3 linked regions of the Stegostoma tigrinum genome follow. The main gene of each other region encodes a partner of the protein of the gene in region 2 in a complex. Links are inferred from orthologs where the notes say so. Each region holds a gene or a part of one and is shown on either strand. Other genes may lie near its edges.

Evidence for each region.
Region 1: the proteins of rnaseh2b (region 2) and rnaseh2a are in contact, whole or in part, in a crystal structure (PDB 3PUF), measured with the Homo sapiens proteins. The link is inferred for Stegostoma tigrinum from reciprocal best matches to the Homo sapiens genes RNASEH2B and RNASEH2A. Residues at the interface, in NP_078846.2 of Homo sapiens: His16, Phe18, Lys39, Asn42, Gly48, Ala49, Ile50, Val63, Lys64, Val65, Phe66, Lys67, His70, Phe74, Val79, His86, Phe87, Val183, Tyr211, Gly214, Leu215, Asp218, Tyr219; in NP_006388.2 of Homo sapiens: Val227, Phe228, Ile253, Trp254, Glu255, Ser284, His285, Tyr287, Phe288, Arg291, Gly292, Leu293, Glu294, Ser295, Ala296, Thr297, Ser298, Leu299.
Region 3: the proteins of rnaseh2b (region 2) and rnaseh2c are in contact, whole or in part, in a crystal structure (PDB 3PUF), measured with the Homo sapiens proteins. The link is inferred for Stegostoma tigrinum from reciprocal best matches to the Homo sapiens genes RNASEH2B and RNASEH2C. Residues at the interface, in NP_078846.2 of Homo sapiens: Arg14, Gln15, His16, Val17, Phe18, Leu19, Val20, Ser21, Glu22, Leu24, Leu35, Met36, Phe37, Val38, Lys39, Leu52, Glu62, Lys64, Phe66, Glu68, His70, His71, Ser72, Trp73, Phe74, Ile75, Asn76, Gln77, Ser78, Val79; in NP_115569.2 of Homo sapiens: Ile9, His12, Arg13, Val14, His15, Leu16, Ser18, Ala27, Thr28, Leu29, His30, Leu31, Leu32, Pro33, Cys34, Glu35, Val36, Ala37, Val38, Asp39, Gly40, Pro41, Ala42, Pro43, Val44, Gly45, Phe48, Phe63, Val75, Pro77.

Annotation. Positions count from the first base shown.
Region 1 is NC_081388.1:17,345,508-17,353,160, reverse strand, and holds the start of rnaseh2a (ribonuclease H2 subunit A), read right to left. Parts: upstream 3,053-7,653; 5' UTR 2,937-3,052; coding exon 2,810-2,936; intron 2,215-2,809; exon of another isoform or gene 1,950-2,214; coding exon of another isoform or gene 1,937-1,949; intron 1,567-1,936; exon of another isoform or gene 1,542-1,566; intron 1-1,541. UniProt on the Homo sapiens protein: Catalytic subunit of RNase HII, an endonuclease that specifically degrades the RNA of RNA:DNA hybrids. Participates in DNA replication, possibly by mediating the removal of lagging-strand Okazaki fragment RNA primers during DNA replication.
Region 2 is NC_081365.1:70,977,011-70,985,043, forward strand, and holds the start of rnaseh2b (ribonuclease H2 subunit B), read right to left. Parts: upstream 3,061-8,033; 5' UTR 2,876-3,060; coding exon 2,812-2,875; intron 1-2,811. UniProt on the Homo sapiens protein: Non catalytic subunit of RNase H2, an endonuclease that specifically degrades the RNA of RNA:DNA hybrids. Participates in DNA replication, possibly by mediating the removal of lagging-strand Okazaki fragment RNA primers during DNA replication.
Region 3 is NC_081395.1:3,960,453-3,968,284, forward strand, and holds the start of rnaseh2c (ribonuclease H2 subunit C), read right to left. Parts: upstream 3,037-7,832; 5' UTR 2,965-3,036; intron 1,773-2,964; 5' UTR 1,766-1,772; coding exon 1,615-1,765; intron 1,173-1,614; coding exon 1,060-1,172; intron 684-1,059; coding exon 564-683; intron 1-563.

The sequences.
Region 1 (7,653 bases), on a different chromosome or scaffold from region 2:
TTGGTAAACAGCTATGTGGGGTACTGGTTTTCTTTCCTACTATAAAATGCAGCAAGTCTCATTTGCCTCCTTGTACCTCAGCCTGTTCTTAAAAATTGCTCTGTAATTAATTCCACTCGCTTGCTATTTTCCCATAATCCAGAAAATGTTGCTTTTCCAACTATCTATCCAACACCCATTTGGAAAGTTATGACTGAATCTGCTTCCACCACGTAGTCAGCACATCCCCGATCATAACAACCTGCTGCATGAAAACATTTCTCACCTTCTCCTTAGTTCATTTGTCAATTATCTTAAACGTATCATCTGGGAACAACAGTTTCTCCTAGTTTAATTAATCCAGATTATACACAAGACACTTGTCTAGATTTTGAAACTAACCCTGCTGCATTTAAAATAAATTGGTGTTATTTCAACATGTGGACTAACCAATGAAAGACTTTGAGGTAACAAAGTGTGGAGCTGGATAAACACAGCAGGCCAAGCAGCGTCTTAAGAGCACAAAAGCTGACGTTTCAGACCTAGACCCTTCATCAGAAAGGGGGGAGGGGAAGGGGTTTCTGAAATAAATAGGGAGAGAGGGGGAGGCGGATCGAAGATGGATAGAGGGGAAGATTGGTGGAGAGGAGACAGACAAGTTAAAGGGGTGGGGATGGAGCCTGTAGAGGTGAGTGTAGGTAGGGATGTAGGGAGGGGATAGGTCAGTCCAGGGAGGACGGACAAGTCAAGGGGGCGGGATGAGGTTAGTAAGTAGGAAATGGAGGTGCAGCTTGAGGTGGGAGGGAATAGGTGAGAGGAAGAACAGTTTAGGGAGCGGGGATGAGCTGGACTGGTTTCGGGATGCAGTGGGGGGAGGGGAGATTTTGAAGCTTGCAAAATCCACATTGATACCATTAGGCTGCAGGGTTCCCAAGCGGAATAGGAGTTGCTGTTCCTGCAACCTTCGGGTGGCATCGTTATGGCACTGCAGGATGCCCAGGATGGGCATGTCATCTAAGGAATGGGAGGGGGAGTTGAAATGGTTCACGACTGGGAGGTGCAGTTGTTTATTGCAAACCGAGAGGAGGTGTTCTGCAAAGCGGTCCCCAAGCCTCTGCCTGGTTTCCCTGATGTAGGGGCTTGTAGGGTACAGCAGATGCAGTATGCCACATTGCCAGAAGTGCAGGTGAACATCTGCTTGATGTGTAAAGTCTTCTTGGGGTCTGGGATGGGGGTGAGGGTGGAGTTCGAGAACCATTTCAACTCTCCCTCCCATTCTTTGTGTTCTAAGGCCCTCTCCTTAGACATTCCCTACCATGAGCACATCAGCAAGGAAAAAGGTTGTCAAATATTTTCAGCGCATACCTGCACCACTGGTCTGGAGCAGGGGTGTGAAAAAAAGCTGAATATCATTGGCAAGGTAATTAACAAGCATTATTAGTCATTTTATTCCACCACCTAACTCATTAAATGCACCAAGCAGTAAATGACTTTAGAACAATCTAAAAACAAAATAAAACAGTGCAATTGTTCAAAGAGAGCAATAAATTGTTGCTAATTACTGTTAATCTCTTGTCTATTCTTTTCTATTTGGCAGTACAAAGTAATAGGCAAACGTTTCCACTTCAACAGGAAAGCCCCAAAGTGGAACAGCGTTTTCAATGTTGTTAGCAACTAACAAAAGAGAATTTTCTGACAGATTTATTGGCTCAAGAAGTCAGTTGATCTTGCAGCATGAATTGTGCTAATCTTAAATTAGCTGCAATTTTTTGGCAGAAGCTGTTAAATTTGAAGTAGATGATACATTTCGAATACTACATTTGCTAAACAAACTGAATGTTCGAATCAAGCTCCTGTTTCAGTTGATTTCGTTAACTCTCCAGGATCTTGAGGTGATGTCTATAAATATTCAGTACAAGTTTTGCAGCAGTGCAAGCAGGAGTATCAGTATCCTTACAGGCAGATATCATGATCAAAGACTGAGGCACCTGAAGCCATTTCCTCTAGGTCACACCCCCTTTCCCTCCATTATTCATTCAGAACTAACCATCTCCCCCTCCACATTTGCCCAGCCCTCACCAACCCTTTTCCCACCACTACAGCCACACTCAAATTGATCCTCCCCCTTTGTTCCTTTGGGCTTTCCCCAGGCCTCCATTATTGACCCAGCACTCGCCCTACCCTCTCCTCCGTTTGCCTAATCCTGGCCTCTTAAGCCAGACCTACACCCACTTACCCAATCAGTTAGCCCCTCCCTCACCCCTCATCCCCAATCTTAGGCCTTCCCCCAGTTATTCAACCAGGCCTTCCTCCTCTCCGAGACCACCACTCAACTCAACCCTTCCCCTTAACTACTGACCAACCCCTGCCATTCACAGCTATACCACTACCCGATTCACCCAGTCCCAACCACTCCCCAATTCCCCTTAGTCCTTGCCACCCTCCCTGTATTAGTCCCTCCCCACAGACCCAGATCTCCCCCAAATTCCTTGTCCCTCTGCTTTCCCCTCCCCTTCTCACACTCCCCCAATCCAACCATTACTCACGCACCCACCTTCCCACCCCTCCCCGATTCAAATCCAGGCTTCTTCCCACATCCCGCCACCACAGATCAGCAGCGCACCATCTCCACCAAGAACTACTCCACAAGCCCCATCTCCCAGACCCGCCCCCACAAGCCAACGCCTTCGACCCACTAGACCCGCCCCTACAAACCCCAAGCCCCACACACACACACACACACACACACACTCAGGGCCCTGGACAGGACACCCTGCCCCTCCTCCACACCATCCTCGCCCCTCCCCCAACCAAATACCCCGCCTCTCACCCAGCACCGGTCCCCTTCCCGCTTCATCGATGCCCAGGCAGCAATCTTCAGTCCGACAGGCGGCGGGCACCTTTGATACCAGCCGGTAACTTTTACTGCTGTCCTCCTGAAACTCGCTCAGGTCCATTGCAAAATTATAACAACAACCGCCAATCTTAAATAGAACAATGGCTGCGCTTTTAAATGTCTCGAGAGCAACCGCCAAACTAATCTCTCCCGCGCTCAGCGGCAACCTGCCCTTTGACCTCTGATGCCATCCTGAACGCCACTTCACTCAGTTTTGTTTTTATTTTAAAAATCATGCTGTTGAAAGATACAACAAGTTCCACACTGAGCATTTACAGAAAGCTCTATTTTCACAAATTTAAATTTTGATTTCGTTTGGTGTTCTGCTCGTCACTAACTGGGTGCGCATGTGCAGTTCTGCGCAAAACCCCCTGGGAGTTGTAGTTTTAAAGACTCAGAACCAAATTTCGTTTTAAATAGCGATTAAAAACCGAAAGAAGTGTGGATGCTGTAAATCAGGAACAAAGGCAGACGTTGCTGGAGAAGCTCAGCAGGTCTGAAGGAAAAAAAATCAAGTTAATGTTTGGGGGCCGGTGACCCTTCCTCTTAACTGATGGTAGCTAGGAAAAAGATAATAAAATGTGAGGCTGGATGAACACAGCAGGCCAAGCAGCATCTCAGGAGCACAAAAGCTGACGTTTCAGGCCTAGAACGTTTAGGCCCGAAACGTCAGCTTTTGTGCTCCTGAGATGTTGCTTGGCCTGCTGTGTTCATCCAGCCTCACATTTTATTATCTTGGATTCTCCAGCATCTGCAGTTCCCGGGTAGAGGGTGTAAATAATAGGATAAAGGGCAGAGGACAGGGAGGGCTATGGGGTAGAGGGTGTTAATAATAGGATAAAGGGCAGAGGACAGGGCTATGGGGTAGAGGGTGTTAATAATAGGATAAAGGGCAGAGAACAGGGAGGGCTATGGGGTAGAGGGTGTAAATAATAGGATAAAGGGAAGAGGACAGGGATAAAGGAGTTGATAACGATCTGGTTGGGAGGGTGAATGACTTCATCAGGTTCTAGACCCAAAATGTCAGCTTTTATGCTCCTAAAGTGCTGCTTGGCCTGATGAGTTCATCCAGCTCCACACTTTGTTATCTTGGATTCTGCAGCATCTGCAGTTCTCATCATCTCTTGTTATTCTCCCAGCTTGTGCTGAGCTTTGCTGGAGGACTGCAGCAAGCCTGTGAGAGAGATAGCAAGAACTGCAGATGCTGGACTCCGAGACAACACCGTGTGGATCTGGAGGAACACAGTAGGCCAGGCAGCATCAGAGGAGCACGAATGTTGACCTTTTGGGTTGGGACCCTTCTTCAGAAATGATTCGACCTGAAATGTCAACTTTCCTGCATCTCTGACGCTGCCTGTCTGACCGTCAGTGTTCCTCCAGCTCCACACTGTTTTATATCTGAGACAGATGTCAGCCGGGGGTTAGGGTGGCAGGCAATTGGAAGGACACAGTCATTTTTGCAAGCAGAACACAGATGTTCTGTGAAGCGATCAGCCAGTCGACCATTCATTTTGCATTGCCTTTGTGTTAAGTATTGAAATTGGAAATAGTCCTCCAACAATAAAATAGCTTACAGGGCTCACATAATAATGAACTCAACATTGGATTGTGTTATGTATATTTATATGATATCAAGTGATGCTTTTTCATATCCAGGATTTGCCCTTGATCTCATTTTAAGGTTCTCTGAACTTCAAATGTTCTTATGAATTATTCCACCTGAAATATTAGCCCAGATTCCCCTTTCAAATGCTGATAAGCCCTCTCTGCATTTCCGTTTCATTTCAGATTTTCAGCATATTGCTTTATTTTTATCTGCAATAAAATCAACTACCTCACAGTTACCATGGGAGCAACATGTCGGCCTTTTCAGATGGATGTTGACTGAAGTGTCTTTACGCTGTTCAAAGAGCAGGAAGCAAGGCTCCCAGTGACTCAGCCAACATTTTCCTTAAACTGTATACCAAGCTAATTAACTGTTCATGCATTTGCTCTTTGTATTTCAAACTTGGCTATTCCAATGCTGTAGATGGTCCACCATTTTCTACCATCCACAAATTTAAGTTTCTCTGCTACCCATATCCTAACTAATGTGATGTTACATTCAAACGCTGGTTTTTACTGCCATCCAGTCTGCAGACTACTTGTTACTAAAAATGTTCAGAATCACACTCACCTCCCATCATGATCTCATTCCTTTGGATCTCTGCAACTGATTTAGACCTAATACCACTCCCTTACCCCACAATCCATGTATGCCTTTCACTCTTTTCCATCAACTGTTGATTCCTCAGCCCCATGCCCCCCCCCCCCCCCCAATGTCCTCACCTCTTCTTCTTTAAGACAACTGTTAAAGCCCCGAAACGTCAGCTTTTGTGCTCCTAAGATGCTGCTTGGCCTGCTGTGTTCGTCCAGCTCCACACTTTGTTATCTTAAAGCCTAGCTTTTGGTCATCTAGTGCAATATTTTGCTGATGAGGCCTGGTTTCGGTGTTTTGTTGGATGAGACACTTTTGAGATATTTTAAACATAATGCAACAAATAGATTCAAGATTTTATAGGATATTACCAAGACAAAATAGCTGCCTAACTAATCACATTATCTGTCAAAAATAATTGTGTATAGAGTTTCGAAACAATATAAAGCGGCAAAACACCATACTCTGCTGCCTCTTATTTTCTACCTTTGAAACTGCATCAAAAGGTTTTTTTTTTAATTCATTCATGCGATGTAGGCATAGCTGGCTTGGCCAATGTTTATTGCCCTTCCCTATTTTTCCAGAGAAGGTGATGTTAAGTTGCCAGCAAATTGCTGCAATTCAAGGTGTGCAGATCCACCTACAATGCTGTTAAAGGGGAGTTCTAGGATTTTTGACCCAGCAACAGTGAAGGAAAGGCGATATAGCTCCAAATGAACCCTTTAACCTTATTTATCAAAGCAAACAGGATTTTTCATTTTCTTTCCAACAATGTTGCACTGGTGATGAGAAAATACATAACTTGTTTTCCTTTAGAAATTCGAGATCATAGAGTGCCATCAACTGAGGATCAAGCATCAAAACTTACTTTAACTAAATCTTTTGAGTATTTCCTAATGTTGCCCTCCAACTCAGAGCACAATGATGGTTAAAATCAGGAACAAACATTTTTTCCTTGTGTGTAACATGGACATGGAAGAGTGAACATCAGCACATAATTGAGTATCAGCCTGAAAATTCTTCCAACAAACACAAATGACAGGCTGAAAGAATGAGAGAAATTCTTTGTTAGCTGTGTAATGGAAAGAACCTTGAAGCTTCTACCATCTCTACCTAACCTTTTTATTGATGTAAGATGACTAGAAGCTAAAGAAAAATACCATGAGTAGAATTCCCAATTCCAGGGATTGGATCCTCCAGCACTACCTCTGCAGCCCAGTGGTGAACTCAAATGCCTTTGAAATAGAATATCAAGAGCTCAAAATGCACTCCAGATTTGAGCTCGTAATCCAGATTGCCATTCCAGTGCAGTACTGAAGGAGTGCTTCGGTGTTGCAGGTGACAATTTTCAGATGAAATGTTAAACCAGTTAAGGGTCTATCTGTCTTATCATCAGGTCATAAAAGATGACGTGGCATCAAGTTGAAGAAGATCAGGGGTATTCTCCCATTGTTATCCCTCATTGTTAACATCAGGTTATTATTCACAAACACAAAGTTGCTGGAAAAGTTCAGTGGATCTGGCAGCATCTGTGAAGGAGAAGACAGAGTTAACGTTTCGGGTCCGGTGACCCTTCCTCAGAACAGAGGAAAGGTCACTGGACCGAAAACATTAACTCTGTTTTCTCCTCCACAGATGCTGCCAGACCTGCTGAGCTTTTCCAACAACTTTGTTTTTGTTCCTGATTTATAGCATCCACAGTTCTCTTGGTTTTTATCAGGTCATTATTGGTGTTTATGGTGTGTGCAAAGGTGCTGCATTACAGCTTACTCAGGGAGTTCCACTTGCTATGACAATATTCATGTTGCACTCTGGACGTTAGGTATAGATGGTAGAAACTTCAAGGTTCTTTCCATTACACAGCTAACCAAGAATCCCATTCTTCCAGCCTATCATTTGTGTGTGTTGGAAGGATTTTCAGGATGATACTCAACAATATCAGGTCCAACAGCAATCTGTTCTTCTGTCCAAAGAAGAGTCATATTGGACTCCAAATGTTAGAACTGTTTCCATCCCCACATATTCTGCCAGAACTCTTGAGTTTCTCCAACAGTTTTTGCTTTTGTTTAAGATTTTCAACATCTGCAGTATTTTGATTTTATTTGATAATAAACCTGTTTGGCCACATCATGAATGCTTTTCTTGGCTATCATGTCCTGTATTATGACTCATACACTTCTGACTCAGAGACAGGGACAATATCCACTGTGTGCATGATACCTGCTCCTTATGACGAAAAACTGTGCACAAATTGACTGACTTGAATCCCTGCATTACAACAATGATTGCACATTGAAAAGTGTGACTTCAATTTCTTTCGAATTGTGAAAGGTCACAAGTAAGAGTAAGCTGTTTCCTTGAAAAGTAATTATAAATAAAACTACGGCCTGGGTTTGTAGATAGACCTTATTCTAACCCATACAGGCCCAATTCTTCAAGACTGTACTTCGTCTTTAAGTTAGTATTCCCTAACAATGCCAGCATGCTTCTTTACAACAAGAAACATACTGGCAGCTGTTGTTTCTCAAGTGTTTGCCACAATTCAGCAAGTATTCTGCTTATTGTCCCCTTATAACCACAG
Region 2 (8,033 bases):
AACAGTGCCAGTTGCTTCCTGTACAGCAGGACAGGAGCAACAAAATCAAAACACAATCTGCACCGTTATCAGAGAACAATAAAGCATCCCTGCTGAAGGCATACTGAGTGCTTCATAGAGTTGCACACCACAGAAACAGAAACTTCAGTCCAACCAGTCTAGGCCAACTGCTTGTGCCTGTGCTTGGCCCTTATCCCCCCCAAACATTTCTTATTTACGTACTTATCTAAATATCCTTCAAGCATCATAACTGTACCCACATCCACCACTTCCTCTAGAAGTTCACTGCACACACGAACCACTCTGTTAAAAAAAAACTGCCCCTCACGTCTTTTTTGAATTCCCCATCCTACGCAAAGACACCTGCCATTCACCTTATCTATACCTCTCATGATTTTACAAACTTCCATCTATAAAAGGTTACCCTTCAACCTCCTACACTCCAGTGAAAAATGTGCCAGCCTATCCAACCTCTCCTTACAACTCAAACTCTCCATTCCTGGTGAATTCTAGTAAATCTTTTCTGAATGATCTTCAGCTTAATAATTTCCTTTCTATAACAGGACGACCAATGCTGGACACAGTACTCCAGAAAAGGCCCAACGAATATCATGTACAATCCTAGCAGAGCGTCCTAACACAGCATCCCAACACCTATACTCAAAGGTCTGAGCAATGAAGGCAAGCGTGCTAAATGCCTTCTTAACCACCCTATCTAGATGTAATGCAAATTTCAAAGAATTATATCTCTGAACTCCCTGGTCTCTCCACTCTACAACAATACCCAAGGCCCAACTTTTCATTGCATAAGTTCTGCCCTTGTTTCTTTTACAAAAATGCAATACTTCACATTTATCCAAATTAAACTCCATCGGCTACTCTTCAGCCCATTCACCGAACTGGTCAAGACCTCTTTGTAATCTTAGGTAACGTTCTTCGCTGTCCACTATACCATCAATTTTGGCATCATCTGCAAACTTACTAACCATGCCTTCTATATTCTCATCTAAATCATTTGTATAAACAGTAAACAAAACTGGAGCCGGCACCAATCCCTACGGAACATCGCTGGTCACAGGCCTCCAGTCTGAAAAATAACCTTGCACCATCACTGTCTGTCTGCTGTTATTAAGCAAAGTTTGTACCCAATTGGCAAGCTCATCCTGAATCCTACATGATGTTACTTTACTCATTAGTCTGCCACGTGGAACCCTGTCTAATGTTTTACTTAAGTCCAAGTAAACAATGTCTACAATGCCCTTATCAAACTTCTTGATTATTTCCTCAAAAAAAGTTCAATTTACTACTCTGGAATTAATCCAATTTGGAAACGTGAAAAGTTCAGAATTGACAACAACCAGCTGTTCCTCAAAACTGGCTTTACACCTTTGTGTAAAAAATACATAAAATCTACAATCAATGTATATGACTGCAGCAATATTGGCAATGTGGTATCAATTTCCCAAGCAAGCTAATGTATTAAGTTGCTACCAAGAAACAAATGAAGATGGTTTACCACCTCTTCAAGAGCAATTAAAGGATGGACAATAAATTCCAGCCCTCCCAAGAATGAATTAAACTAAATAAATATTCACTCCCTCTGAAAATCACATCCAATACCTAATGTAAACTGCATGACTTTGCAATTCCAGATTAAACTGTGTGTCAGCATACTAGGAGAGGCTTACAGTGCAAAACATCATCTGCTAAGGAGTCTGCCACAGGCATATGATTACACAGGAGCTGATGAGGACCTTTACTCATCACGAAACTTTCAGTTTATACAATACTTTGCAGCATTACTACTATTCAACTTGATTTTGCCAGTGACTACACTATTGTTTAGACATTCCTGTTCTGCTACATAAGTCTTTTCTTTATATTTATATAAATTTCTCATGTTGCAGTTGTGTTTAAATTCTGTAATCTTGAAACACATTATAATTGATGAACAAATGTATATTTAGGAGAAACAATATATTTCAATACCTTCATTTAGGGACTGCGTGATAATGCATAAAAATCAATGTCCTTCAGATATAGTAAAACACTTAGCAGTTTTTTGGTACTTATAAGAACTTAACATGAAAATGTTAAATATTTCACATTTTCAAGTTCCCTGGTTTCAGAGGAATGAATCTGTTCCTCAATGTCCTGGATCAGAGTCATTTGCAGAAAATATTGGATCAAGGTGGCACATTCAGTTCCTTCACCCCTAGAAAAACAGGCATTCACTCCCTCCGATCCTCACGCTGTTCTAGACTCTAGGATTGTACATATTATGTAAAACAGTCAGAATTCATGCTGTAATCTGCAGAGACTTGGCACAAGGAGCGTCTTTAACTACATATGCCAAAAAACAAGACAGGAAACCAAACCAACACGCTTACTGAAAATCTCCTAATTGAAAATACAGAAAGTATTTGCATTTATACAGGACCTTTCCCCATCTCTAGTTGTCTTTGCGACTAATGATGCACCTTTGGAAATGTAGCCACCATTGCAGTGAAGAGAACTTGGCAGCCAATTGCCACACAGCAAGATCCCATAAACAGCAACGAGATAAGTACCGCAAGCCTATTTTTAAGAGAGATTGGACAAGACACCAGGGAGAATGTACGCCTGCTGTGACTCTGAGGTTTTATTTGTGTTTCCCGGAGAGGGCGGCAGGGGCCCGAAAACACAGCGCTCCCTCAGGATTTTGTGACCAAATCTCTGGGGTGGGATTTGAGCTCAGGACCAGGATCTGAGGAGACAGTGCTACCAACTGATTAAAACCTTGCAGTCCAGCCAACGCCATTTTGCGATTACCTTGTACCAACATCACCCACTGGTCAGAGTGTGAGTCCTCCTTTGAGTTCCGCTTGCTAGGCATGGCAGACCTCGCCAAGCTGGGTATCTATTCAGTGACACAATGTTACAGCTCCCCTTCCTCACATTGAATGGCGCCAACCTACCCCAGCTCTTCACACAGCAGAGCGAGGGGGAGGAGGGAAAGCACCCAGCACAGTTATTAAAAAAAACAGACACTCCTGGCCAGCAGGGAGGCAGAGAGGCTTTAAAAATGTATACCACAGCGTTGGTCTTATTGTGGAGTTAAACCATCAAAGAGCCAGCGACGATGGGAATTGAATGAAAACGCGCGCCCCCTCTCCTGTGCATGGGATGGTACAATCCTAATTAAAGGAGCCCTGCACCCAAAACACCGGACAGGGCAAAACTCCAGTTATAGCAAGAACTGCAGATGCTGGAGTCCCAAGTCAGGTCCGGACCCCGGTCAACTGTCCTGCTCCTCTTTACAACAATACCCCAAGTATTCTGCGTTCCTCACTCTCCACACTGTGTTGACAGTGCAAAGCTCATTGGGTTATCGGAGGAGCAGCGCAAGGGAAAAAATAAGCTGTCAACAAATTGTGTAGCAATTAATGAATGATTCTGATTATTGATCTATGGAATGTGCAAGTTAGTAGCTACAGAGGTTTTGCACTTTAAGCCTCAGGATTTTCACAATCCTCCCCCTTTACATTATTTAAGTTAAATCTTAATAAAAGCTCCTCCGTCCATTGATATGTATGGTGTCCCGACGAATCGAAGAACTAGGATTGCTTGTTTAAACCAATCAGTAGATGGGAGGTAATAAAGTGTGAAGCTGGATGAACACAGCAGGCCACGCAGCATCTCAGGAGCACAAAAGCTGACGCGGGCTTAGACCCTTCATCAGAGAGGGGGATGGGGAGAGGGTTCTGGAATAAATAGGGAGAGAGGGGGAGGCGGACTGAAGATGGAGAGAAAAGAAGATAGGTGGAGAGGAGAGTATAGGTGGTGAGGTAGGGAGGGGATAGGTCAGTCCAGGGAAGACGGACAGGTCAAGGGGGCGGGATGAGGTGGTAGGTAGGAAATGGAGGTGTGGCTTGGGGTGGGAGGAAGGGATGGGTGAGAGGAAGAAGAGGTTAGGGAGGCAGAGACAGGCTGGGCTGGTTTGGGGATGCACTGGGGGGAGGGGACGAACTGGGCTGGTTTTGGGATGCAGTGGGGGAAGGGGAGATTTTGAAGCTGGTAAAGTCCACATTGATACCATTGGGCTGCAGGGTTCCCAAGCGGAATATGAGTTGCTGTTCCTGCAACCTTCGGGTGGCATCATTGTGGCACTGCAGGAGGCCCATGATGGACATGTCATCTAAAGAATGGGAGGGGGAGTGGAAATGGTTTGCGACTGGGAGGTGCAGTTGTTTATTGGGAGGGGGGGTTTATTAGGTGGGAGGGTTCAATTGCGGGGAAGTTTTATAACTTAAAAAAGAACAAATAAGAGGTGCAGGGTCGTGAAGATGCAAGCGATAATCAATCTGTGATAGGGAGGGATAGAAAATATAAGCAGAGTGTGGGACATATATTAAAATCAGCGTAAGTAACAATGGTTAAAAAGTCAACCGTTATCTTTATCTGAATGGACGCAGCATTTGTCAAAACACAGATGAGTGGACAGCACAAATAGAAATCAACGAATGAAAGCAAAATACTGCAGATACTGGAAAATCTGAAACATACATGGATAACACTGGAGAAACTCAACTGATCTGGCAGCATTTGCGGACAGAGAAACCGAGCTAAAGTTTCGAGTCTGGGGCGGCACGTTGGCTCAGTGGTTAGCACTGCAGCCTCACAGCGCCAGGGACCAGGGTTCGATTCCAGGCCCGGGTGACTGTCTGTGTCTGTGCGGAGTTTGCACATTCTCCCCGTGTCTGCGTGTGTTTCCTCGGTGCACCGGTTTCCTCCCACAGTCCAAAGATGTGCAGGCTAGGTGGATTGGCCATGCTAAATTGCCCGTAGTGTTCAGGGGTGTGTGGGTTCTAGGGGGATGGGTCTGGGTGGGATACTTCAAGGGGGGGTGTGGACTTGTTGGGTCGAAGGGCCTGTTTCCACACTGTAGGGAATATAAAATGACACTTCAAATCTCTGTGGAATGGATGCACTGGATTGTGTTTCGGAGTCAGTTTGAGTGGAAATAAGGAAAAACAAAGGATAGAAGTCACAGCTGGGAGTTAACTCATTGCAGGACTAAGTATAAGTTGGAACATAGCGGAAATGTGTAATAAGGGCATTACAATTAACTTGGCTCATATTAACTAGGAAAATCAGATGGGAAAACGTAACATGGAAGATGAATTCTGGCCATAATCTTTCCGTCTTTTGTGGATTCAGGGGTGGTGCCAGAATTGCAAATATTATAAATATCCCACTCCCATTCCTTCCCTTTCCTTTAGCTTTGCTTGTTACATTCTCAGTCACCACGTCCTCTCTCCCCTCCCTCCACCCACTAGAACAGTCTGTTCTTCCCAGTCTTTTCTGATGAAGGGTCTAGGCCTGAAACGTCACCTTTTGTGCTCCTGAGATGCTGCTTGGCCTGCTGTGTTCATTCAGCTCCACATTTTGTGATCTCGGATTCTCCAGCATCTGCAGTTCCCATTATCTCTGTTCTTCCCAGTCTGGCAGTCAGACACACCATTATTCTGTCATTCTCACATTCCGATCACTTAACCTGCTCTATCAACATCCTTTCTCCCCAGCACTGCACACCCTCTCTCCCCAACTATTCCATAAATGCTGATCCTCCAGACTTCATGTCAGCTTTGATGAAGAGTCACCTAAACTTGAAAAATGAGCTTGCTGTCTCTCTGTAAATGCTGCCTGATCTGCTGTGATTTCCAACAATTTTTGTTTCAGTTCAAATATTAGACTTGTTCAAGTAAAGTTGTGGAGATAATCCTAGCAAATACAGGCCAAAAATTTAATGGTGGAGAAGCCTCGAGAAACAATTAATTTGGATAACATTAGTAGTCACTTGAAAAACGGTGGGTTGATTCCGTAGAATCAGCATACATTTTTAAAGGGAAGGTATGTTTAATTAACCTGCTGGAGTTTTTTTGTAGAAGTAACATTCAGGCTCGAGGAAGATAACACTGGTGCGATGTACATGGATTCCCAGAAGGCGTTTGACACAGTGCCACACAAGAGACATATGAGGAAAATTATATGTCATGGTATGTAGTAAAATGGATAAAAACTTGGCTGAGTGATAGTAAATACAGTGGTAGTCAATGGATATTTATCTGACTGGAGGGAGGTTTGTACTGGAAGTCTGCAAGGGTCAGTACTGGGAGCTTTGCTTTTTCTGATATGTATTAATGGTTTGGATCTTGGTGTGTAGAGGACAATTTCAAAGTTTTCAGATGACATAAAATGTGGGGGAATTATAAAGTGTGAGGACAGTGTGGTATCCAAAAGGACATTGGCAAGTTGGTGGATGAATAGCAGATGAGGATCAATGCAGAGAAGTGTGAGGTGAGGCACTTTGGTAGAAAGAATATTGAAAGATGTCATAAATATGAGGTATAATTCTAAAGACAGGGTAAAAGCAGAGGGGCCTGGGTGTATTTATATACAGATCACTAATGGTGACAGGACAGGTAGAGGGAGAACGTAATAAGGCATACAGTGTTCTCAGCTCTATTAATGGGGCCAGAGTGTACAAGAGCAGGGAGGTGATGTGAACTTGTGCAACACACGACTTAGACCTCAACTGGACTATTAGGTACAGTTGTGAGCACCACACTCTAGAAAAGAAGCAAATGCATTAGAGAGAGTCCGGGAGTGATGTACAAGAATGGTTCCAGGAATGAGAAACTTCAGTTATGAGGACAGACTGAAGAAGTTGGGACCAGTTTCCTTGGGGAGAAGAAGGGTGAGACGAGATTTGACAGAGGGTTTCAAAATCACGAGTGGGCTGGATAGAGTAGATAGGGAGAAGAGCTGTTCCTGCTCATAAAAAGAGAAAGGACAGGATGGCACAAATTAACAGTGATGTACAAAAGAAGCAAGTGCAATGTGAGAAAAATCTTTTTTCACGCAGTGAGTAGTAAGGGTATAGAACGCACTGCCTGGAAATGTGGTGAAGACAGGTTAAATTGAGGTGTTCAGGAGGGCATGGATGATTACCTGGATAGAAATAGTCTGCAAGGATCTGGGGATAAAGCAGGAGATTGACACTTGTAATGATGCTAATTTGAAGAGTGCAGGCACAATGGGCTGAATGGTCTCCTTCTGTGCTGTAAAAATTAAGACATAAGACAAGAAATAAGACGTAGGGCAGAAATTAGGCCATTCAGTTCATTGAGTCTGCTCCACCACTCAATCATGGCTGATAAGTCCCCAGCCCCATTCTCCTGTTTTCTCCCCGTAACCCTTGATCCCCTTGATAATCAAGAACATATCTGTCTCAGTCTTAAATGTACTCAATGACCTGACCTCCACAGCCTTCTGTGGCAATGAATTCCATAGATTCACCACTTTCTGGCTGAAGAAGTTTCTTCTTATCTCCGTTCTAAAGGGTCTTCCCTTTACTCTAAGGCTGTACCCTCAAGTCCTAGTCTCTTCCACATCTTCCCACTATGCACTCTGTCCAGACCGTTCAGTATTCTGTAAGTTTCAATTATATCGTCCCTCATCCTTCTAAACTCCAATGAGTATAGTCCCAGAGTCCTCAAACGTTCCTCATATGTTAAACTTTTCATTCCTGGGACCATTCTCGTGAACCTCCTCTGAACCTGCTCCAGCACCAGTACATCCTTCCTGAGATATGGGGCCCAAAATTCTGTGATGAATTTGAACAGTGCATCAGGGATTGTTTCTCAGAACTATACATCACTGAAGCTATTTGGGAACAGGCCTGTTTAGGTCTAATAATGTATAATGAGATGTGATTAATAACTGATCTCATTGTTATCCCCTCTAGGATCCATAACTATCTCAAAATAGAAGAATTTCAAATTTAGTTTGAGGGAGTGTTACACAAGTTAAACAAGAATACTGACAGATATATGAAGCAAAAGTTATCTAAAATTGACAAAATGGGCAAGTCAGTGGATAAGCATTGACAGACATTTAAGCAGATATTTCATAATACTCAGCAAAAATTTGTTCCAATCAAAACAGACTTGATGAGAAGGAAGAATCACCCATTCTAAACAAAAGTGGTT
Region 3 (7,832 bases), on a different chromosome or scaffold from region 2:
GCCCTCAGTTAGGGCAAAGACAGAGAAAGGCAGTTGGGTTCCCTGTGGAACAGGTGTAGTGTTCTTAACTCTGAGCCAGGTGACTTGGGGTTGAAGTCCCATCTGCTCCAGAGATGTTGAATAACATTTCTGAACAGGTCAATTAGAAGTATATTAAAAATTGAGATATCAGTGCTCCTGCTGGTCACAGAAATGGGAGGAAAACCTTAGCCTCTTCTCTTGCCTGCTACATAGAAACAAGAAGCCATTCACCCCTAGAAGGGACGTCATACCTGCTGACTTTAAAGGGGAAGATTCTGCAGCTTGGGCTGAACCAGAGGGAAACCAAAGACTTCTCTACGGGTACAACTGAATTCTTCAATCATCATAAACCCCTCAATGGATCACATTCTAACCCCTGCCTCTCGAGGGAATGTGTCCTGTCTGTGCATCTCACCCTCACTATTTAACCCATTCAGCCTTTGCTCCTTCCCTAGGGTTTTGGGACTCAGGAGTGAGTCTCCGTGTTTGAAGTTCTGAAAGTTGATACCGGTTTGAAGGGATTAAAGTAATAAATGATTTACAGCTTCTGCAATCTGAGTCCAGCCCATCGCCATGACCACGCTGTCGTCTTCTGCTGGGGGAGATCCCAGGTTCCAGTAAGTCACTGAAGAGAAAGATGATTTAACACTGACGTTCCGGTCCTGCAAATCACAGTAAAAGTTTTAAGTGACATTTCATTGAATGATATTTAGGTTGTCATTTTGGAAAGATATTGGCCCTGATGAGGAGCAGGGAGCATTTCCAGCAAAACATTGCCACCAACAGCGCAGGTCACCCTGCATTAACAAATAGGCACCTCTCAGTTAGAGGTCACAGCTTCAGTACACCTCAGGAACATGAGCCACGTAACTGGAGCCAACCAACAGGTAAACATTGAGGGAGCGCCATGCTGTCGGAGGGTTGGCAGCGAGGGAGCGCTGTGCTGTTGGAGGCTGTAAAGGAATGTAACTTCCACCACTGGGTGATGTTCCTAGACTCGGGTGAGCGCTCACAGTTGAATATTGAGTGCTGTCTCACCTCCTCCTCCAGGCACGGTTTATGGTCCTCTTTCAGAACAAGTCCAACATATCCAGGGGGCACAGGAAGATCCCGACCTTGCAAGGCTCGGCCTCGATAGGACACCTGCAACTCTGAGAGAAATTTACCTTTTTTTTTATATGTCCAACGATAGCCTGCACGTCCCTGCCTTGGCCCATCCCTGTTGCTGGGTTACACCTGGAACAGGTCTGCTATCTTGGATAGGTCACTAGAGAGATACAGATCAAAGAAAATGGAGGGAAAAGACCCTGAAGGAAGGGGTGGGGGGAGAGATGAGGAGAATATTTTACTTGAAGCAGTGAGTTCTGATCTGGGGTGTGTTGCCTGAAAGGGTGGGGGGGGGGGGGGGAGCAAGCAGATTCAACAGGAACTTTCAAAAGGAGGGGAACCAGCAGGGAAGAATGAGAGAGATCATTCAGAAAATCTACACAGGTTGGATGGGCAGAATGGCCTGAATGCTGTGCTGGATGAGTTTGCTTGGAGTTGTGGTCATGGGTGCAACCCTCCAGGTTGAGCAATCAGCCAAAGCCTTACCCCCATCTCTGTGCCGCACAGCTGGGCTGAAGTACTGCTCCACTTTGGCACTGCCGTCAGATTCGATAGCAACAGGCAACAAGTGAAGCTGGTCCCTGGCGGAGAACTTCAGGGAACTCAGATCCACAGTGATCACTGAGTCGGCCGCCATTGCCTTCCTGTAGGGAATCAGAGGGACCTCATTAATCAACAGCAAGTAAAACCGGCAGCGAAACATCTGCGAGGCACAGCAGGCAGTTCATCCCCATCTCCGCCCCCGCACCCATTCCCCCACCTCTACCTCTCCCCCACTCACCTCCCATCCCAAAACCCCCACCCACCTCTCACCACATCCCCACCTCCCTCTACCTCCACCCGACTCACCACCCATCCCCAACCCCCCACCCGCTGTACCTCTCCCCCACTCGCAACCCCCCTCTCACCATACATTCCCCACCCACATCTCACCCCCTCACCACCCAACTCCACCCCCACCACTCCACCCCACACACTCTTCCCCTCACCCCCCTCCAACATTCCCCCCCACAACACTCCCTCCCACCCCAACACTCCCTCTCCCCCCTCCTCCCCCCCCCTTCTCCCCCTCCTCCTTCACCCCCCAACACTCCCCCCCTCCTCCTCCTTCACCCCCCAACACTCCCCCCCCTCCTCCTCCTTCACCCCCCCCCTCCTCCTCCTTCACCCCCCCCACCCTCTTCACCCCTCCCCCCCCCCCACCCTCTTCACCCCCCCCTCTTCACCCCCTCCCCCACCCCCCCCTCTTCACCCCTCCCCCACCCCACCCTCTTCACCCCTCCCCCACCCCACCCTCTTCACCCCTCCCCCACCCCACCCTCTTCACCCCTCCCCCACCCCACCCTCTTCACCCCTCCCTCTTCACCCCCCCCCACCCTCTTCACCCCCCCCCACCCTCTTCACCCCCCCCCACCCTCTTCACCCCCCCCCACCCTCTTCACCCCCCCCACCCTCTTCACCCCTCCCCTCCCCCCCCACCCTCTTCACCCCTCCCCTCCCCCCCCCACCCTCTTCACCCCTCCCCTCCCCCCCCCACCCTCTTCACCCCTCCCCTCCCCCCCCCACCCTCTTCACCCCTCCCCTCCCCCCCCCACCCTCTTCACCCCCCCACCCTCTTCACCCCCCCCACCCTCTTCACCCCCCCACCCTCTTCACCCCCCCACCCTCTTCACCCCCCCACCCTCTTCACCCCCCCACCCTCTTCACCCCTCCCCCCCGCCATCACTCCTCCCCCCCGCCATCACTCCTCCCCCCCGCCATCACTCCTCGAAACCCTCTCATTCCTCCCCCAGCCCTGTGCTCCCATCCCCGGTCTAATCCTCCCTCCATTCCCACCCGAGGCTTGTGTCCCGCGGTCCCGCCTCACTCTCCTCCTGCCCTCTGACCGCTGTCACGTGGCAACTAACAAAACGGAAGACACTCGCGAAATGACTGTTGGGGGCCGCGGGGTGCTCTGGGAGTTGTAGTTCATCCCCATCGTCACCGGCTCAGGGTCAGCGCTGAGGGAGCGGGCACTGTCGGAGGGTCAGTGCTGAGGGAGCGGGCACTGTCGGAGGGTCAGTGCTGAGGGAGGGGGCGCTGTCAGAGGGTCAGCGCCGAGGGAGCGGGCACTGTCAGAGGGTCAGCGCTGAGGGAGCGGGCACTGTCAGAGGGTCAGCGCTGAGGGAGCGGGCACTGTCGGAGGGTCAGTTCTGAGGGAGCGGGCACTGTCAGAGGGTCAGTGCTGAGGGAGCGGGCACAGTCGGAGGGTCAGCGCTGAGGGAGAGGGCACTGTCGGAGGGTCAGTTCTGAGGGAGTGGGCACTGTCGGAGGGTCAGTGCTGAGGGAGCGGGCACTGTCGGAGGTCAGCGCTGAGGGAGCGGGCACTGTCGGAGGGTCAGTTCTGAGGGAGCGGGCACAGTCGGAGGGTCAGCGCTGAGGGAGAGGGCACTGTCGGAGGGTCAGTGCTGAGGGAGCGGGCACTGTCGGAGGGTCAGTGCTGAGGGAGAGGGCACTGTCGGAGGGTCAGCGCTGAGGGAGCGGGCACTGTCGGAGGGTCAGTGCTGAGGGAGAGGGCACTGTCGGAGGGTCAGCGCTGAGGGAGCGGGCACTGTCGGAGGGTCAGTGCTGAGGGAGAGGGCACTGTCGGAGGGTCAGTGCTGAGGGAGCGGGCACTGTCGGAGGGTCAGCGCTGAGGGAGAGGGCACTGTCGGAGGGTCAGCGCTGAGGGAGAGGGCACTGTCGGAGGGTCAGTGCTGAGGGACCGGGTGCGACACAGAAGGTGCTCTGCAGAAACTCACCAAAGACCCTCAGGCAGCACCTTCCAAACCCACCACCCACTTCCATCCAGAAGGACAAGGGGCAGCAGGTTCATGGGAACAGCACCCCCTGCACATTCCCCTCCGAACCCCTCACCATCCCAACTTGGGAATATATCCACGTTCCTTCAGTGTCGCTGGGTCAGAATCCCTGGAATTCCCTCCCTCGCATGGTTAGTAAGTTTGTTGATGACATCAAACTTGGTGTCATGAACAGTGAAGAAATTCATCTTCACCCAAAGAGTACTGTTGACCATAAAATGTGAGGCTGGATGAACACAGCTTGGCCTGCTGTGTTCATCCAGCCTCACATTTTATTATCTTGGAATTCTCCAGCATCTGCAGTTCCCATTATCTCTAGTACTGTTGACCAATTGGGTCACTGAGCTGAGGAGAGGCAGATGGAGTTTCATTTGGTAAACGTGAGGTACTGCATTTTGGTAAAACCGATAAGGGCAGGAATTATACCAATAAAAATAGGCCCAGGGGTCATGGAGAAATCTCGGGGTTCAGGTCCCCCATTATTTGAAGTAGACAGGGGGTTAAGAAGGCGTTTCGCACAATTGCCTTTATTGCTCAGACCTTTGAGTACAGGAGTTGGGGACGTCATGCTGAGGATGTACAGGACGTTGGTGAAGCCTCTTCTGGTGCACTGTGTCTGGTTCTGGTCTCCCAGTTGTTGAAAGGATTTCTTAATCTGGAGAGGGCTCAGAGGGGATTTAAGAGGATGTTGCTGGGAATGGTACATTTGAGTTATCAGGAGAGGCTGGATAGGCTGGGGCTCTTCTCACTGGAGTGTAGGAGGTTGAGGAGTGACCTTACAGAGATTTATAAAACATGAGAGGTGTAGATAAAGTGAATGACAGGTGATTCTTCACTCGGATGGGGGACTTTAAGACCAAGGGACATATTTTTAAGGTGAGAGAGGACAGATTTAAAAAGGATGTGATGGGCAATGTTTTTTACGCAGAGATTGGTCGTGTGTGGAATGAACTTCCTGAGGAAGAGGTGGATCTGGGGATAGTTACAACGTTTAAAAAGCATTTGGATAAGGACATGAATCGGGAAAGGTTTGGAGGGATATGGGCTAAGAGTGGAGGCAGGTGGGACTAGTTTCGTTTGGGATTATTGTTGGCATGGACTGGATGGTCCGAAGTGTCTGTTTCTGCATTATCTGACTCTGTGACAGTGTTGTGGGTGTACCTTAAATTAGGGGGGAAGCGGGGTGATGGCCTTGTGGTATTATCGCTGAACTGTTAATCCAGAGAGCCAGGTAATAGCGAGTTTTGAGAAGATTTGTAGCTCAGGTTGAGGCTCTGGATGTGAGTTTGCTCGCTGAGCTGGAAGGTACGTTTTCAGACATTTCGTCACTTTTTTTTATTTGAAAAAATATGCTTTATTCATAAAATGTACAAAAAATAAAACATATTTATACACCTACCCAGTCATGCAAGCTGCTTCGGGATACCCAGGGGGTACATACACCAACTAAAGGAAAAAAAACAAAGAAGAAAAAAACCAAAGCAAAGAAAATACCCCGGCGGTTGTCACCCCGCACAGTCCCCGTTGGCCCCCTGACCAGTTGGGGAAGGCACCAGCTGGGCCCAGGTACAGGATAGGGCCCTTTTTCCTATTCTGGACGAGGGGTTTCATACCATGGTCTTTCCCCACCGCGCCTTGGCGGCGGCTGCCCCAAGCTTTAGCGCGTCTCTCAGCACGTAGTCCTGGACCTTGGAGTGCGCCAGTCTGCAACACTCGGTCGGGGTCAGTTCTTTCAGCTGGCAGACCAGAAAGTTGCGGGCAGACCAAAGAGCATCTTTCACTGCATTGATGGTCCTCCAGGCGCAGTTGATGTTGGTCTCGGTGTGCGTCCCGGGAAACAGCCCGTAGAGCACGGAGTCACGCGTCACGGAGCTGCTTGGGACGAACCTCGACAAATACCACTGCATCCCCCTCCAGACCTCCTGCGCATAGGCACACTCCAGAAGGAGGTGGTCGACAGTCTTGTCCCCCCCGCAGCCACCTCGAGGGCAGCGTGCGGTGGTGCAGAGATTCCGGGCATGCATAAAGGATCTCACTGGCAGAGCCCCTCTCACCGCCAGCCAAGCAATGTCCTTGTGCTTGTTTGAAAGTTCTGGCGATGAGGCATTCTGCCAAATGACTTTGGCAGTCTGCGTGGGGAACTACACGACGGGATCCACCCTCTCCTTTTCCCGAAGGGTCCTGAGGATACTACGTGCAGACCACTGCCTGACGGCCTTGTGGTCAAAGGTGTTTCCTTTCAAAAATGTCTCCACGAAGGACAGGTGGTACGGAATGGTCCAACTACTCAGAGCGTTCCACGGCAACAAGGCCAGGCCCATCCTTCACAACACCGGGGACAGGTAGAACCTCAGTAAGTAGTGACACTTGGTGTTTGCGTACTGAGGATCTACGCACAGCTTGATGCAGCTGCACACAAAGGTAGCCGTCAGGGCGAGGGTGGCGTTCGGTACGCCCTTTCCCCTATTTCCCAGGTCTTTGTACATGGTGTCCCTGTGGACCCGGTCCATCCTCGACCCCCAAATGAAGTGGAAGATGGCCCGGGTGACCGCAGCGGCGCAGGCCCAGGGAATAGGCCAGGCCTGCGCCATATATAACAGTACCAAAAGCCCCCTCGCACCTGACAACCAGGTTCTTACCCGCGATGGAGAGGGACCGGAGCGTCCACCTGCCCAGCTTCTGCTTCAGTTTGGTGATACAATCCTCCCAAGTCTTAGTGCACGCCCCAGCTCCACCAAACCAAACATCCAGCACCTTCAGGTAGTCTGTCCTGACGGTGAAGGGGATGAAGGAGCGGTCATCCCAGTTCCCGAAGAACATGACCTCGCTCTTACCCCTATTGACTTTGGCACCCGAGGCCAGTTCAAACTGGCCGCAGATGTCCAACAGTCTACTCACCGACCGATCGGTGCAGAAGACGGCAACATCGTCCATGTACAGGGAGGTCTTGACCTGAAGTCCTCCGCTGCCTGGGATAGTCACGCCCTTCAGGCTCATGTCCTTCCTGATGGATGCGGCGAAGGGCTCCACACAGCACACAAACAAGGCAGGAGAGTGTGGGCAGCCCTGCCTGACTTCAGATCTAACAGGAAAACTGTCCGATTCCCACCCGTTGATCGAGACTGCGCTAACGATGTTGGCGTAGAGCAGCCGGATCCAATTGCGGATGCCCTCCCCGAACCCCAATTTGGAGAGGACATCCCTCATGTAAGCATGAGAGACCCTGTCGAAGGCCTTCTCCTGGTCCAATCTGATGAGGCAGGTGTCCACCCGCCTGTCCTGCACGTAGGCGATCGTATCCCTGATGAGTGCGAGGCTCTCAGTGATCTTCCTGCCCGGCACAGCACAAGTTTGGTCAGGGTGAATCACTGACTCCAGGACAGACCTGACCCGGTTGGCAATGACCTTGGCCAGGATTTTGTAGTCCACATTCAATAATGAAATGGGACGCCAATTCTTAATTTCTTCCCTCTCCCCCTTCCTCTTGTAAATGAGGGTGATGATGCCCTTCCTCATGGACTTGCAAATTTCCCCCGCCCGAAGCGCACTATCATACACCTCCAGCAGGTCCTGGTCGACCAGGTCCCACAGAGCAGAATACAGCTCGACCGGTAAGCCGTCGCTCCCGGGAGTCCTATTCCTGTCCAAGGACTTGAGGGCTCTGGTCAGCTCGTCCAGGGATATCGGCCGGTCCAGCCACTCCCTCGTGCCATCGTCTAAGACCTCCGTGATAGACGACAGGAACGACTCGGAGGCCGTGCAGTCCGTGGGCTTCGTGTCGTACAGTCCGGCATAGAAGGATCTGCTAATCCTCAAAATGTCGGGCCGAGGCGATGTCACATTATCCTGGAGGCCTCCACGGCG